2 linked regions of the Arabidopsis thaliana genome follow. The protein of the gene in region 2 interacts with the protein of the main gene of each other region in a pairwise test. Each region holds a gene or a part of one and is shown on either strand. Other genes may lie near its edges.

Region 1 (5,553 bases), 340 kb from region 2:
TACGTAAAAAAAGACGTCGTTATCCTAAATATCTAAAGCTAAAGAGAGAGTCATTAACCAAAAAAATGTTCTTTTGCTAAATGTTGTAAAATCTAAGAGTTGTATAAAGGTTATTTCTAGTTATGTATTTAAATTGTTACTATTTGTCATGATAATTTTAAAATTCAAAGAGTTTATAATATTAACAACAAATAGATATATAAAATCATATTTTCAAAATTTTCAATAAAATATTTTAGTCACACAAAAAACTGTTAAATTTTTTACAAATAAATCCACGCATGAGTTCATAGCTAGTAAATAAATAAAGAAACAACAATGTTACCAAAAAAAAACTGGTTAACGTATTTTCTAGAATTAACATGTGATGTGTATTTTATTCATTAAGCATCTCCTTAGTATATAATTATATAAATATAAATTTACAAATAAAATAATACAAGATCTTTACTAATCTTTATGTGGAAAACAAAAAAAAAACATAAGTAAAACAAATTTATGTGGATAAGAAACGCCATACGCATTCACGTATTATCTTGCCATGTTAGATATGATTCTCAATGTTACAAGAAAACATTTATGGTAAAATAATAAAAGTTTAGATCGCAGACAATGGACCTAAATGATCCCATAATTCATAGGATAAGTTTTCATTCTTGTTTCGAGCATGTTTAATATTTCCACTAACTGTTTTGCCCTCTTGATCTCTACATTCTCATCAAAGTTAATTAGTTCATAATACCATAAACTATTAGTATCCTCGTTCTCTTCTGCATGAAGATAATATTTGAAACCGATATTACATTCGCTGCACTATATATGGATTTGTAGGTTAACTCTAACAAAATCCAAATTACTCTAAAATACTACACATACGGTCCTACAAATTACTAATTAAAACCAGTATACTACTAAGATTAAATGATATGCTATAAGAATTTGGCTCGCCAAAATATAAACTAGGAAGAAATAATGTGGGGATGATAAATTACTAAAGCCTCACTAAAACTCAAATATGTCATCATATCAATCAATATATGAGTGTTGAGATTTGCCGTAGATATTATCTTCCCCCACCAAATAATTGTACCTACACTACACCCCAAACAAGCATATAAGAACAAGTTAATTTAGGTTAAGCAAAGCTGACAAAAGATTAGAGGGAACCATCTCTAGTAAGCTTAGCAAGCAATGCATTGATAAGTGAATCCCTCTTCTCTGCTCTCATCTCCTCCCTCGACCGCCGTTGCTCCTCTCTATCCCGCCACATCCGCTCCATTGCCAACCTCTCCTTCTCAAGCTCCTCCATCTTCCTTCTCCATTCTTCTTCTTTCTCTGCTCTTTCCTTCTCCCTAGCCTCCCATCCTTCTCTCCACTCGCTCTCCATTCTCACTTGATGTCTCATAAACTCTTCCAACACTTCTCTTACACCATTATTGCTATTACTACTATTACTACCGCCTTTTCGCTTCTTTGCAATGTTCTTTTTCGGATTTAGAATTTTTGGGTCGTTGCTGACATCTACTAGCTCTTCATTCACATTCTCTTCTTCCTCATCTGAAGAATACTCTCTCTTTCTCGCTGCCCCGCTTGTTCCCCCTCCTCCTCCCTCGGATTCAGCCCATAGCATTCTCTGCATTCTAGTGGTAAATATATTTTGCATATCATCATAAAAAGGGAACTGTTGTCTCGCTGTCTCTGCCTCCATTGTCTCACATCCCTAGAAACATCAAGCAATACATCACCAATGAGATTGTATACATATAATTAAACTACTTAGCAGATTATGGACAACAAGATTCAGAAATATTTACAATGGTGTTTGTCTATATGTCCCGGAAAGATTATGGACTATAAGATTCAATATTTCTTGGTTACAAATTTTTATTTATTTATTTGTTCCATGCAAGACCTCCAAGATTATAAAACATCCACAAAATGAAAGAAGAGGGAGAGAGAGAATAGACCTTAAAACGAGTGACGAGGTTCTTCCACTTGCACTTGCACTGTTCAGGGCTACGAGGAAAGCTTTTGTCTCTCATCTTGTTAGAGATAACTTCCCAAAGAAGCTTGTTCCGTTTTGTCTCCATGAAAGTTTGATCTAGCTCTCCTCTTATCCCTATCAACTCTTTTGTCTCTTCGACGCTCCACTGTGGAAACCTATCCCCAACAGCTACCGGAGAGGCTATTTCCGGCGTTTGCGATTGAGTATGAAGATGATGCTTGTTGAGATATTGAAGCTGGTGAAGGTGATGATGCTGATGTCCATCCATATGAAAGAATCAAGAAGAAGAAACTATAAAAAAAAAATAAAGAAAAAAAATCACCAAACGATCTCTAAAGCAAAGATTTTGAAGAAGCTTTCACTTTTTCAGATCGAAAAACAAAATATTTCTTGTTTTTCTTTATCTTTTGGTTTTTGTGTATTTGTAATGTGAAAACGTTGGAAGAAAGAAGTCTAATTTTCTTTGATCGCAATTCTTTTCTTCTTCTCCACTCTCTCTTTCTCCTGTCGCCATCTGTCTACGCGTTTACTTTTTTCTCTGTCTTGGATTTTTTCTAATACAATTTACTTTTTTTTTGTGTGTCTTCTTTTGACAAAATATTAAAAAGAAAAAAGCTTTCGGCAGATTTGTCATTTCATTTCTAATAGTATATAATTAGTTAAAATATCGATTGAAATGGTATTATAGAGCAAAGGATAATTAGCGTCTTAAACTACCAGTCAATTCGTTAATAAAAGATATGTTGACTGGTGATCAGGAGAGATGTGGATATTTCTATCGTTATCTCATAATGTAATCACTTTCATTTGACAAATAGTATTCTAGATTCTGACAGTCGACATATTTGTCAAATATGTGTATGAAATGAGTTTATTACTGAGTTGGTTTGGTAAAATGGTAGGGATAATAAATTTAATTAAAATGATGATAATTTTTTATATTGCTTTAAATATAAAAAACAGTAAAATATTAAAGAGAAAGTCAAGTCTTTAAATAATATAATACAATTTTTCTTTTGTCAAAATAAATTAGAGTGAAAGTGTAAGAAAAACATAGGTGAGTGGTAAATATTTCCTATTGAGTTATAGAGCTCTTTATGTATTTTCTGTTTAATCTGCTTTTTCATTCATACTATAATGAGGAATCAAATTGATGTGACGATAACATTGCGTTGAGGTTTCATCATCACCGCGAGAAGTTTCGGTTTGTATACTTTTTGTAATAATACTGTGTGGTTATTAATTCTCGGCGACCAGTCATATCCTTAGCTTCATGCCCAAGTTTCTATTTACTACTTTGTCTTTGTTTATTTTTCCCTTTTTCAACAAAATTCGATATTTTTCTAATTTTGAGCACCTTTTTTAAATACAAAACTAGGTGACTTCTCTAGAATCTCTCGTTTCCTAAATTCCTTCACGTGTTATTCCTTGTATGGTTATCAAAATAACAAAAGTGTTGGAATGATTTCTTCATTCACGAAATGACAAATTATAGTGTGACACGTGCGTGGAACTAGCCAGCTAGGAACAACATTCTAGAGATGTGAAACTTGTTAGGCCAATTTTGAATTTTTTTAAAAGCATGAACATGACAAAAAAAAGCATGTGCCAAACTAATTCATTTTCAACTTAAGGTTTATTATGGGTTGGCAGCCCAAACCCATTCTACACAGTTTGGGCCCAATTTGTCTTCGAGTGATGTACAATTTGGCAATTGGACTCACATAAGAACAAATTTTGTGTAACCCCTACAATAGATGAAAACTGCAACTCTCTTCTAAAGTAAAGGACTAAAGTCAACCTAGTCCCTTAAATGAGGTTTGGAAAATTCTTTGTCTGCCTCGTTCACTTTTATTTTGCCTCGTTTTATGTATCTGTTGAAGGAACACCACTTGGTTGATTATGGTACGAAAAACATGTTATTTGGACTTTCACCAAATTTATGTCGATATAAAAAGATCAGTACAAATTTGTTATTGATTTTATTTTTAGAGGCTACATTTCCTATGGTTTGTGACCAGACTATAGCTAGCTACAATTTTTTTATTGTATTTTTATTGCGAAAAACTTAGTTGCATATATTATTCACTAAAACAGAGATTTTTTGTATAGTAAACAGTGAAGGTAAAATTGTTAGCAAACAAAAATTTTGTAGAGTCAAGAAAAGAATTTTTATATATATATATATATATATTTTTTAGAAACAACATATTTTTAATAATAAAAATAGGAAGCTTCAAATACAGCATTGAAAAGAGTTTAACGAAGAATTTTTGTTTTCGATTGTATTTAAATTTATATAATATATACAAACAAAAAAAAAAAAAAAAAAAAAATTGTCACGTGTGCGTTTGGTAGCTGTAAATGAATGCATCTTACACAGTAGCCCACATGTCGATTTTGGTTTTTCTTCATTTTTTCTTCACCACATAGCTGTTGTCTTCAAAACAATCAACGAGTTTTTTAGATTTGTTGATTTTGTTGTTTTGGATTATTGTTGATTTTGCCATTTTAGATTTTTCACTTTATCTATAAAAAAAAAAAAAACTATTTTCTGCCACTTAAAAGCTAAAATTTTGAGAAACTTTTTAAATAAAAATATGTATTTGAGAATTTTGTTTCATTATGTTTCCATTTTTTTTTTATAAAATACATAATAACAAATATTATACCCTAAAAAAATAGAACCAAGTAAACCTAAATGTGTAAATTGTAACTTTAGATATAATTTTTTCGGCAAATCTATGAATGCCACTAAAAATCCTTATCTGGTAATTGATTCATTTATTTATTTATTTATCACACTATATCACATCATTTACGTTCACAATATTCAACATATTAGGCGGACAATTTCTTTTGTCAACATCACGGATCTAGTATTTCCTTTTGACATATCTCGATCTAGAAGATGAAAGAAATAGATATATAGGATGAAATGAATTTAATACCATCTAAAAGAACGTTCCTATTATATATGCTAATGTATAGCATCAAAATACCATTTGTACAAAGAAAAACAATAGATAATCGAATTTAACAGAGTTAGATTGATAAATGGTATTTCTTTAGTTGTCACGTTTTGAAAGCGTGATTCTATTCTCATGTTTAAACATTTGTCTTAAACGTTTTGTTATATATCATAGACATGTTAGAGATATAACTGAAAAAAAATCATTTAAATTAGTTTTTGAGTATTTTATAATTATTCTTTTGGGAATTTCAGTCATCCAAAATCATTCAACAATGTTGCGCCAAACAGAAGATGGTTCAACCACTATAATCAAACCATTTTTCAAATGATTTCGTTTTTTTTGTTTATTTTTTGGCTTTTGTGGATTACAAACCAAAACAATAATTTAAATTATGATGATCTCTACTTTAGTCTATATAAATACAATGACCATGAAAAAAATACACTATGGGTTTGGCTGTTTTCGTTCCAAATGTTGGCATGACCTCCACCGATAATCTGTTGTTGATTAGGTATTTTTAAGTCTGTCAATCGTGAATCGACATCTGATTGTCATCAAACTCTTATTCTATAA
Region 2 (10,181 bases):
TTTTAATTCTAGAAATATGACGAAGAACAGTAATGTTCAAATAAGGTAAGGAAACAAAAGAACAACAACTCTTTTTTTGGCCAAACTAAAAGAACAAACAACTCAAAGAAAATAAATAAGTGAAATAACATACCAAAATTTTATATCAATTTAATGCCTAAGAATTGGTCAAATGTTAACTTAAGTACTTAAATTTTAAAAACATCATATACACTGATATTCATCTACTAATTATAAATCAAAATTTTTTTTTGTTAAAGTGAGAGGATGATCCGAATTCACCTAATTCAGAATTTCTATCGTTTAGTCAATTGCTTAGGAAAACAAAAATATATGATGACAGTATATAATGGACTAGTGGATGTTGGGCCGCTTTTTAATAAAGCCCAATTAACAATTTAACATATAGAGAAGCAAGATGTCGATGCATATTCATTTACACAAACAAACAGAAAAAAACTACAAGAAATCTTCTTAAAAATACAAAACAACCGCTGTAGTTATAAAAGAGAAGATGTTAATTATTAATTAGTCTCCAAATTTGTGTGGATTAATTTGTAGTTTTTGAATATTACGGTCTTAGTTAGGGATAAAGATAAAACCAAATGTTCCCCAAAATATTATGAGTTTCTGAAGAAACACTCATTAGTAGGAAAAAGATTTAGGACTAGTTGTTTGACCAAAAAAAAAGAAAAAAAAAGAAAAAAAAAACTTTGGACTTTACCACTAATTCTTTGAGCGAGTGAGCTTATTTGTTTCTATCAGAAGCCCACTAACATTTATTCTAAACTAAATGTATTTAATTAGTAAAACACATTGATCCTAATCAAAGTCGCTTACAAACCAAAATCCACATAAAAATAGAAAAAAAGAAGAAGATGAATTTGTGATGATATCTATCACACTTAGAGAAAATAAAGGAAAAACACCTACTAACTAAAACATATTATAAAGATAATAACATATTATAAATCAATAGATATTCTGTGTCAAAAATATTAATTTGCAAAACCATTTTTGTATATTAAATATTTGTATTTGCTCTTATACAATACATTGCAAATTGTATCTTAAAAGTGGTTTTGTGACAAAAAAAAAAAAAAAAAAAAAGTGGTTAATAAGTTCTTATAAAACCTATTTAAATATGATATAAGGTTATTAATTCAATCACTCACTATGAATATAAATACATAAATATATAAAGAGTCAACCATAATTATTTTTATTTCCCTAAGCAATGTAAACGATATTTCATGTCATGAATGAAATCCATAAATAAAATAATTTGCTGTAAATATTTACATCAATATCATGCATAGTTTTAAGATATTCAAAAAAATCATAGAGAATTTTGGAATATTAAAACTGATATGATACATAAATGAATTTCATAAAATACAAACCGTCAAAAACAAACATATATCGTGTACATTTAGTTTTCATTTTTTATGGACACAACGTACATAATTGCAGATGATTTTTAATTAAAATTTATGAGGAGAAAATGCTAACCTTGTATATATTTTCCTGTTTCCGTATACTAATTGACTTGAAATGTAATAACTTCCGTGTTCTGTTTTTTGATTTTTTTCTTAGTTAGGCTATGAAAGCTCTTAAATTGTTACCTTTTTTTGTTCAATAAAGCTCTTAAATAGTTACCTAAAATTAGAAACAATACGTAAATTTCTATGTTTTTTCTTCAAAGTAACTTAAGTGGCGGTCAACCAAGAAAAAACATCATAAATTTTATTGTCCATCCAACTTGGAGAAATATTAAACTGTTAATCTATTTAATTAAAGATTAAATATGAATTTAATTAAAATTTAATCTGAATTGAATACAACTCATTATTAAGATTTGTTCAACTTGCAGAAAAAACAAGGGAACAACACGTTTTCAGGGATGACTTTCAAAATTTTATATTGGATAACGATGTGGCAAAGAATACAAAATTCAAAGAAGGAAACCATATGAGATCGGTTAAGATTGAAAAATTGGAGCTATGGGTCAAAACAAAGATGGACACATGGATGATTTTACACCACAACCTTACCAATAAAGAGTCAACGCTTAGGAAGTTTAGATCAGTACATATCATAGAATGGCAATGTCAATATGATTTGAGTTGACTCTAACCTTCTTTTTTTTTAAATGACAAATTATTTAATTATTTCAACTTCCTGATGAAACGGTTGAAATATTATTTTATCAATTTGAGTGAAAATGTGGAAATCCACTATTCTATCGAAGTTCCAACTCTAACTTGGTGGAAATAAGTTGTATAGGATAAAACCATAATATAATGGGCATTGTATTAATACCAAAACTGATCCCATTCCAAAAGAAAAAATGGAATTTTACGGTGGTATTGGCTATATTGATACTTTACTTGGAGAAAAAAAAAAATTGATTGAAAATATGACTAATATTATTAGTCGGACAGTCATATCAAAATGGAGTTGAAAAACAAAAATGGCTAATTTGGTAAATGCTCCATCGAGATTGGAAGTAAGAAAGAACATCTTTTCATGATTTTTAAATTGTAAATACCGTTAGTGAGTGTTTTCTTTGTTTAGTCACCTTGTGTTACAAGTCCTTTCTATAAGCCACTGATCGTTTTGTATAAATAATCAAGAAATGCAAGGCAGACCCATAATTATTTTAATAAACAATTATCATAGTCAACCCAAAGTACTTCCAATTCCAGCTATGGTTAAGTTTGACTTCACGATAAGTTTCACCTCACGCTTAAATATATATTTCCATCTATCTTTTCTTTTTGTTAAAGGATACCTTCATTATGGGTTAAAAAAGTGTAACTGTCAATCTGTAAATTTTTTATTGGATACAAAGAAAATTTATATTAACGACAACAGGTATGTTTAACACATGAGACGATAATCAATTCCAAATTTCCGGTAACGGCAACTATGTCCTAAGCCACACCTTGATTGAGTCCATTTACCACAATTTGATTTTTTTTTTTTTTTTTTGGTTTGATATTTAGTAATATCAATTCACAATAATATTTATGAAAATATCTTAACATACTTGTTATCAATGCTGATCCAACGTCTTAACCAACATACCTAACTGATAACTAGTTCCAGATGAATAGTCGTCCAACCCATAGCACACGATATTACATGTACAACACATGATTCAAAATAAATCATACTGGATTTTGCGAAATGTTTACCACGTATAGCTAGAATTTTCCAAAAGTTTTTAAAAAATTTGTACTTTGGAGATTTAAATCCTGATATGGCATAGAAACATGAATTCTTTTTAGGCCACCACCAAACCAAAATCGTTTTAAGTTTTTATGTACCGTTTTCGTCAGAAATTAACTCACTGAGTAACATGTTGGCTCTATAATTGTTTAGTTAAAACAAGAACTGATGAGAATGGAATATCAATCATTAAATGACCGCTTCAATTTTACCTCGGTTTATCGCTTGGCCACTATTTTATTTCCGAAACCCAAAAGTAGATAAACTAGTTTCTTTTGCATGGAAATTTTTTCCACCTTACTTTGGTTAGAGATTCTTTTACTTCGTTTTTCTTTAAAGAAGATTTTACATAATCTCATTCAATAAATTTATGATATATTAAAAAGTATCTTTTTCAGTTCAACATCGCAGACATTCATAATAACTGCCAAAACCCATTTCTTTGATCGTACCGTAAAATGTGAATGCGAGGCATGAATAAATTTCGGTCTTTTAAAAATAAAAATAAAATAAAAAATTTCAGTCTTCATCAGAACGACCGAACACTACATTTAGTTTTTAAAATTGAAAAAATCGTTTTAAGGTATGCATGACCCATAAGAAGTGGTAGCTAAGTTCACACGGCATTACCAGTCTCCTCATGCCACTTCATCTCAAGTCGTTATCTTTGAATTAGTCAAAGTCTTCGTTTCCCTTATTTTTTAATAAATAATTGCGGCTTTCACTTGTTTGACTTTCTTTTTATTCTCTTTACAAAGAAATAACAACAACTCATGTATAGGCATCTTGTTTTTAATTGAATTATGTATATATAGAGACATAACAGGAACAAAGTCCATATCACTTTCTTTCTCCTTTTCCCCTTATCGATAAACTTGCGAAACCCTAAAAGCTAAGAAACTTAAGAGTTTAAAGTTTAACAAAAACAACTTAAAAAGAGTTTTGAGCAGTGAAATTAATGGCAATAAAAGAGCGATCACTAGAGGAAACACCAACATGGGCTGTTGCTGTAGTTTGCTTCGTTCTCCTTTTCATTTCCATCATGATCGAATACTTCTTGCACTTTATTGGTCACGTACGTATATTTTTCATTTTTATATTTCCAAATCTTCCTTTCTCTCTTTTTGCTTTTCTCCAAATGATACGAAAGTACACATTAATTTAGTACTATTACTTTTGCATTTTAAGGTTATTAATGCATCATCTCGCTTTTTCTTAACTAGGCAATCAAAATTTATTCGGTATAACCCCATAATTAATCTCTAATTCTTCTTTTCACTTATTGTAGTGGTTTAAGAAGAAGCACAAGAAAGCTTTATCTGAAGCTCTTGAAAAGGTTAAAGCAGGCAAGTTAATTCACTATTCTATAAAAAGTTGTCATCAAAGACGACTTTTTATATTACAATATGATAAATCTTTCTCTATTTGGATTCCCAACTAACTTTCTTCTTTTGTTGTTGGATTGTGATGAAAATAGAACTGATGCTTCTGGGATTCATATCGCTTCTATTGGTTGTATTGCAAACACCAGTCTCCGAGATTTGCATTCCAAGAAATATTGCTGCGACTTGGCATCCTTGTAGCAACCATCAAGAAATCGCCAAATATGGTAAAGATTATATCGACGATGGCCGCAAAATTCTTGAAGATTTTGACTCCAACGACTTTTACAGTCCTCGCCGAAATTTAGCCACCAAGGGTTATGACAAATGCGCAGAAAAGGCATGTAATTCATAATTACTTACTAACTATACTAGTATGCCGCTTTTATGTTTAGCAAATATATATATCGGAATCTTATTTCATATTTTCGATTTCAGGGGAAAGTAGCATTAGTATCTGCCTATGGTATCCACCAGCTGCATATATTCATCTTTGTGCTCGCTGTTTTTCATGTTCTCTACTGCATTATAACCTATGCTTTAGGAAAGACCAAGGTACATGATCTTCTCTATACATTTTGTACAAGTTTATGCATATATTTGTATGTGTTTAATTTGTTTTTTAATCTATATATGGTTATGCAATATGTAGATGAAGAAATGGAAGTCATGGGAGAGAGAGACCAAAACAATTGAGTACCAATATGCCAATGGTATGTACATATACAACACACACTATCTCATCGCCATAGAGTTTATATTTGTAGAAGTAATTAATCAAAGAAAAATGACTAATAATCCGGTAGTTGACTTTGCCAAGGTTAACATCTTGATAGCGTATCAGTGGGAAGATAATTGTTTATTTCATTGATTAGTTTGTTTATTTGATTGAGTTAGATAATTGAATTGTTGATTAATTACAACGTCGTTTGTTTGACTCACGAATAAACAATTTAACACAAGAAAGTAACATCATATTTTATTTTTATTTAACTATATATTATCTGTCCTCTGATTTAATTTGTTTAGTTCAATTGGTTATTTAACTATTATAGATCCAGAGAGGTTCAGATTTGCAAGAGATACATCGTTCGGACGTAGACATCTGAATATATGGAGCAAGTCTACCTTTACCCTCTGGATTGTAAGTTTTCATTTCTTTACTTTTTGTGAGTAATTTTTTTATATATAATTTGGTTAAAAATTGACAACAAAACTTATGGATGGAAATGGAATGCAGACATGTTTCTTCAGACAGTTCTTTGGATCAGTGACAAAAGTAGATTATCTTACACTAAGACATGGCTTTATTATGGTAAGTAATAATTAGCATATACTACTAGTAATACACTATGAATTGTTGATTAATTACTCCAATTGGTGAATTGGTGCAGGCACATTTGCCAGCAGGAAGTGCCGCTCGTTTCGATTTCCAAAAATACATTGAAAGATCTTTGGAACAAGATTTCACGGTGGTTGTCGGTATAAGGTACAGTATGTCCCATTTTTTATTTTTATTTAAACCAAGTTTGTTAATATTTTGTTCAAACAATCTTGCACAAAAGTTAAATATCTGATTAAATATCTTTGTGTGAATGCAGCCCACTGATATGGTGCATTGCTGTCTTATTCATATTGACCAATACACATGGTATGTCCTAATTCTCTAACAATTCATTTAAGAGATTAAGCAAATCGTTATATATCAACGAAATATCTTTCTAAATTTCAATGTCTTTTTCAAATTAAAATAGGATGGGACTCATATCTTTGGCTGCCCTTCCTTCCCTTGATTGTAAGTAATAAAAAATTTCACTTCAAAGTCTTCAGTGTATTAATTATGTAGCTGTGAATAAACAATAATTGTATATGGTTGGTGTAAATATTGAAGGTGATATTGATAGTAGGAGCAAAACTTCAAATGATAATATCGAAATTAGGATTAAGGATTCAAGAAAAAGGAGATGTGGTTAAAGGAGCTCCTGTGGTTGAACCGGGCGATGATCTCTTTTGGTTTGGTCGTCCTCGTTTCATTCTCTTCCTCATTCACTTGGTTCTTTTCACGGTACACTTATTTACTTTTTTACATTTACCATCTTAAGTTTTTTTTTTGTCAACCCTTTTCTTATGACTTTCTAAATTTTGTTTCTTCTATGTATTTTGTTTATAGAATGCATTTCAACTGGCTTTCTTCGTTTGGAGCACTGTGAGCAATAACAATCCATTTTCTTCTTCCAATTTATATATGTTTTTGAAAAAAAATTAATGATTTTGGTTATGAATTAATTTTGCAGTACGAATTCACACTCAAAAACTGCTTCCACCACAAAACAGAAGACATTGCAATTAGGATCACCATGGGGTTTGTTAACTTCCTCAACTATACATAACATACAACAAAATAATATTATCTTTTGTATGTTTTGAACCTTAACGATAAATTTCTTCTTGTTGTATACGGCAGGGTATTAATACAAGTTCTATGCAGCTACATCACTCTACCTCTCTATGCTCTTGTTACTCAGGTACAACTTTTAACAAATTTTAAATTGCTAAGTGTCAATGCGTCATGTTTGAAACAATTAAGGGTTTGCTACAAAATTGTGATTGTCCCATATATAGTTTAGATTATTTTGGATGTATAGGATTTCTCTAACACTAAAATGTGATTGCAGATGGGAACATCAATGAGGCCGACAATATTCAACGACAGGGTAGCCAATGCATTGAAGAAATGGCACCACACAGCCAAGAAACAGACGAAACATGGACACTCAGGATCTAACACACCTCACTCGAGCCGTCCTACTACGCCAACACATGGCATGTCACCGGTGCATCTCCTCCACAACTACAATAACCGCAGCCTCGACCAACAAACCAGCTTCACTGCTTCTCCTTCTCCTCCTAGATTCTCTGATTATAGCGGCCAAGGCCATGGCCATCAGCATTTCTTCGACCCTGAATCTCAGAATCACTCTTACCAACGTGAGATCACAGATTCTGAATTCAGCAATAGTCATCATCCCCAAGTTGACATGGCAAGTCCTGTTAGAGAAGAGAAGGAGATTGTTGAGCATGTCAAGGTTGATTTGTCTGAGTTTACGTTCAAGAAGTGATAGGACTATACTTTTTACATTCTGTTTGTTCATTCTTTGTAAATGATATGAACTTAGGAATGAACACTTTTCTTATTTCTTTATCTGAATTTTGCTATAAGCTCAAACGCTTTATGATATCATTTCATATTAGTAGACAGACTTTAGATCTAGTTAACTGATATGTTTTACACAAACGCTTGTCCTATTCAATCAAATATGTTTTGTGTTTTGGACTTGCCCAAGAGGTTTCGGTAAATGTAGGACATTTTAGAGTGGAGAACTCTATTAAGTGTTCTTGAAGCAGAGCAAAAGGATTCCTTGAGGTCTCGGATATTATGATTAGTCATATATCGTTACGACAGGCATTGATCGTCTGATAGGATTAGATATGGAACGACTCTATACACGAAAATATTTAGTCTTTCTGTAGAATCTATCCCTCTTACTAAGGAACCCTTTGCTTTGGGTCTTGACAACAATATACATTAGTGATTCTGGTTCTGTGTTGGTGTAGGATGTTCAGGTAATCAGGTACGAAGTGCGACTGGAGCAGACAGAGATAAGTAGTTGACGTAACCTTCAGAGACCGAGATCACAAACCGATGGCAAGCAAGCGCAGTGGTGGTGAGAGACATGACAAAGGAAGTCCAGCAGAATCTGAGCATCAAAACTCGGTCACTCTTTGCAGACTCCAGTATCTTTCTCAGTATTACTCTGACCCGCTTGTCATTGATTAGAATCTTGAAGTCTTTGACTGTAATGTTGATTCCTGAAGATGGTGGTGGGTCTGAAAGAGAAATGAATTTAAGGGATTCAATTCCAAGGCTTCCAACCATCCATTGGTACATCGTAGTTGCAATCGTCATGCAAAGTTTCTGGCGTATGACAAGTGCCTCTCTTGAAATAAATGTCCGGATCAGTGAAGTCCCGTTCTGTTTTATCAAAACAGAGAACAATACAAAGTTTATTACTTGAGAGGTCATTTCCTCAGAAATACGACAAATCTACTTTAATCACAAGTTAAAGTCAACATGGGGATGAATGATGACCATAACCAGAAAGGTACCTTATTCCCTGTTTACTTTGTTAGAGACTAATCTTTAAGTTCAGAAAACTGGCAAAAACGATGGGAAGAATAGCAATTAGGATGTAGAAACTAACCGCAGCCATCAAGAGTCTTCTAAGAACCACACCATTTTTGGATGCCAAAAGTCTCAAGACCAAACTTACATTGTCAGCATCTTTGTCCGTTAGATTGGAACTACTATCAACAGAAGTTTCATCCCTTGATAACTTTAGCAGTGGCGATTGTTTCCTAGACAAGGTATAAAATAACTTATTATTATACAGAGACCTAGAATACAAGATAGTAAACAATATGCAGGGGCTAAACAAGACAGAATATGAATGTAAAGATCATTCAAATACTTTAATATCAAATCATTACCAGTCAAAGCTACGTTAGATGCCTATTACTTGCTCTTTGTTGTGAGCCATCTGACTCTTTGTAACTAAATTATTATATTTCATCTGATACTTCTGTAATTTAACAATAGTTTTCTGTTGCTGACCTCAAGAAAGTACTTAGAAGAGAGCCAGAGGCACTAAAATTCTCATCTTTTCCATATTACCTACACCACTTTATCCACCAGAGCTATACCTAGACATAATTCTAATGCATAAGTCAAATGTCTGATTCACAATACCTCGTAGAACTTTTACTCAGGAAAAGAGCAACCCTTTCCCATCGGAATTCCTTCTTTCGGTTAAGGACTGCCTACAGACACCAACAGAAGTTAAGAAGTTTTCTCTGCTATTTAGCTTTATGAAACAGAAACTATAAAAAGTCACTTAAATGGCTCTAGAAACTGTGTAATACCGAATGAAGAATCTTCCTTGTTGCAGCTGAATTTTCAGTGATGAGCTTTTGAACCACAAAAGGGTATGCTGCCTCAAATGTCTTAAAATTTGGATCTCCAGCTGCAGCCAGACCTGGGAAGACAAGAATAGAAAGCAAATAACTAAAGGATGGAAACAAATGGATTACATATTCTTCTACGATATAAGCCAACAAAAAGAATGACGCAAAATGCCAAGTAAAGGAAACCAAGCATGGCTAGAAAGAAATGACAAATAAAGTTATCAAACAAACAATCAAGGACTCAATCACAAGTACCTTCCAAGCAAGCAAGAGAACGGAGGACAAGTGTGAAGTATGGTGGCATGCGTAGCTGATACTTCAGGGCCACATTGACTATTTTACTAAGCACCTTGAAAAAATTAGAAGCATTGGAAGAAATATTAATGAATTCAATGGTACTCACGCAGAAGATAAAACTATAAGAATTTTAGATTGGTTGCATTCTCCCATGTACGAGCTACAAGATAGAAGTTGCTGCCATATAAGAGTGCAGATGGAACTTCTTAGCATCCTAGCACTTTAAGTAACTAGGTTCAAGGATAC

The links. Proteins that work in one complex are often made in the same cells at the same time.
Region 1: the proteins of MLO12 (region 2) and AT2G38250 interact in binary tests that used the Arabidopsis thaliana proteins (3 or more experiments, as listed by UniProt).

The regions. Positions count from the first base shown.
Region 1 is NC_003071.7:16,015,104-16,020,656, reverse strand, and holds AT2G38250 (Homeodomain-like superfamily protein), read right to left. Parts: upstream 2,448-5,553; 5' UTR 2,274-2,447; coding exon 1,968-2,273; intron 1,721-1,967; coding exon 1,157-1,720; 3' UTR 501-1,156; downstream 1-500.
Region 2 is NC_003071.7:16,353,809-16,363,989, reverse strand, and holds MLO12 (Seven transmembrane MLO family protein), read left to right. Parts: upstream 1-4,046; 5' UTR 4,047-4,192; coding exon 4,193-4,309; intron 4,310-4,522; coding exon 4,523-4,580; intron 4,581-4,711; coding exon 4,712-4,956; intron 4,957-5,054; coding exon 5,055-5,171; intron 5,172-5,268; coding exon 5,269-5,329; intron 5,330-5,671; coding exon 5,672-5,760; intron 5,761-5,856; coding exon 5,857-5,931; intron 5,932-6,010; coding exon 6,011-6,105; intron 6,106-6,217; coding exon 6,218-6,267; intron 6,268-6,370; coding exon 6,371-6,411; intron 6,412-6,507; coding exon 6,508-6,681; intron 6,682-6,786; coding exon 6,787-6,822; intron 6,823-6,910; coding exon 6,911-6,978; intron 6,979-7,080; coding exon 7,081-7,141; intron 7,142-7,291; coding exon 7,292-7,735; 3' UTR 7,736-7,949; downstream 7,950-10,181. Other genes in the region: ATATH8 (Protein kinase superfamily protein), read right to left, coding at 8,245-8,649, 8,879-9,032, 9,424-9,494, 9,597-9,709, 9,894-9,987.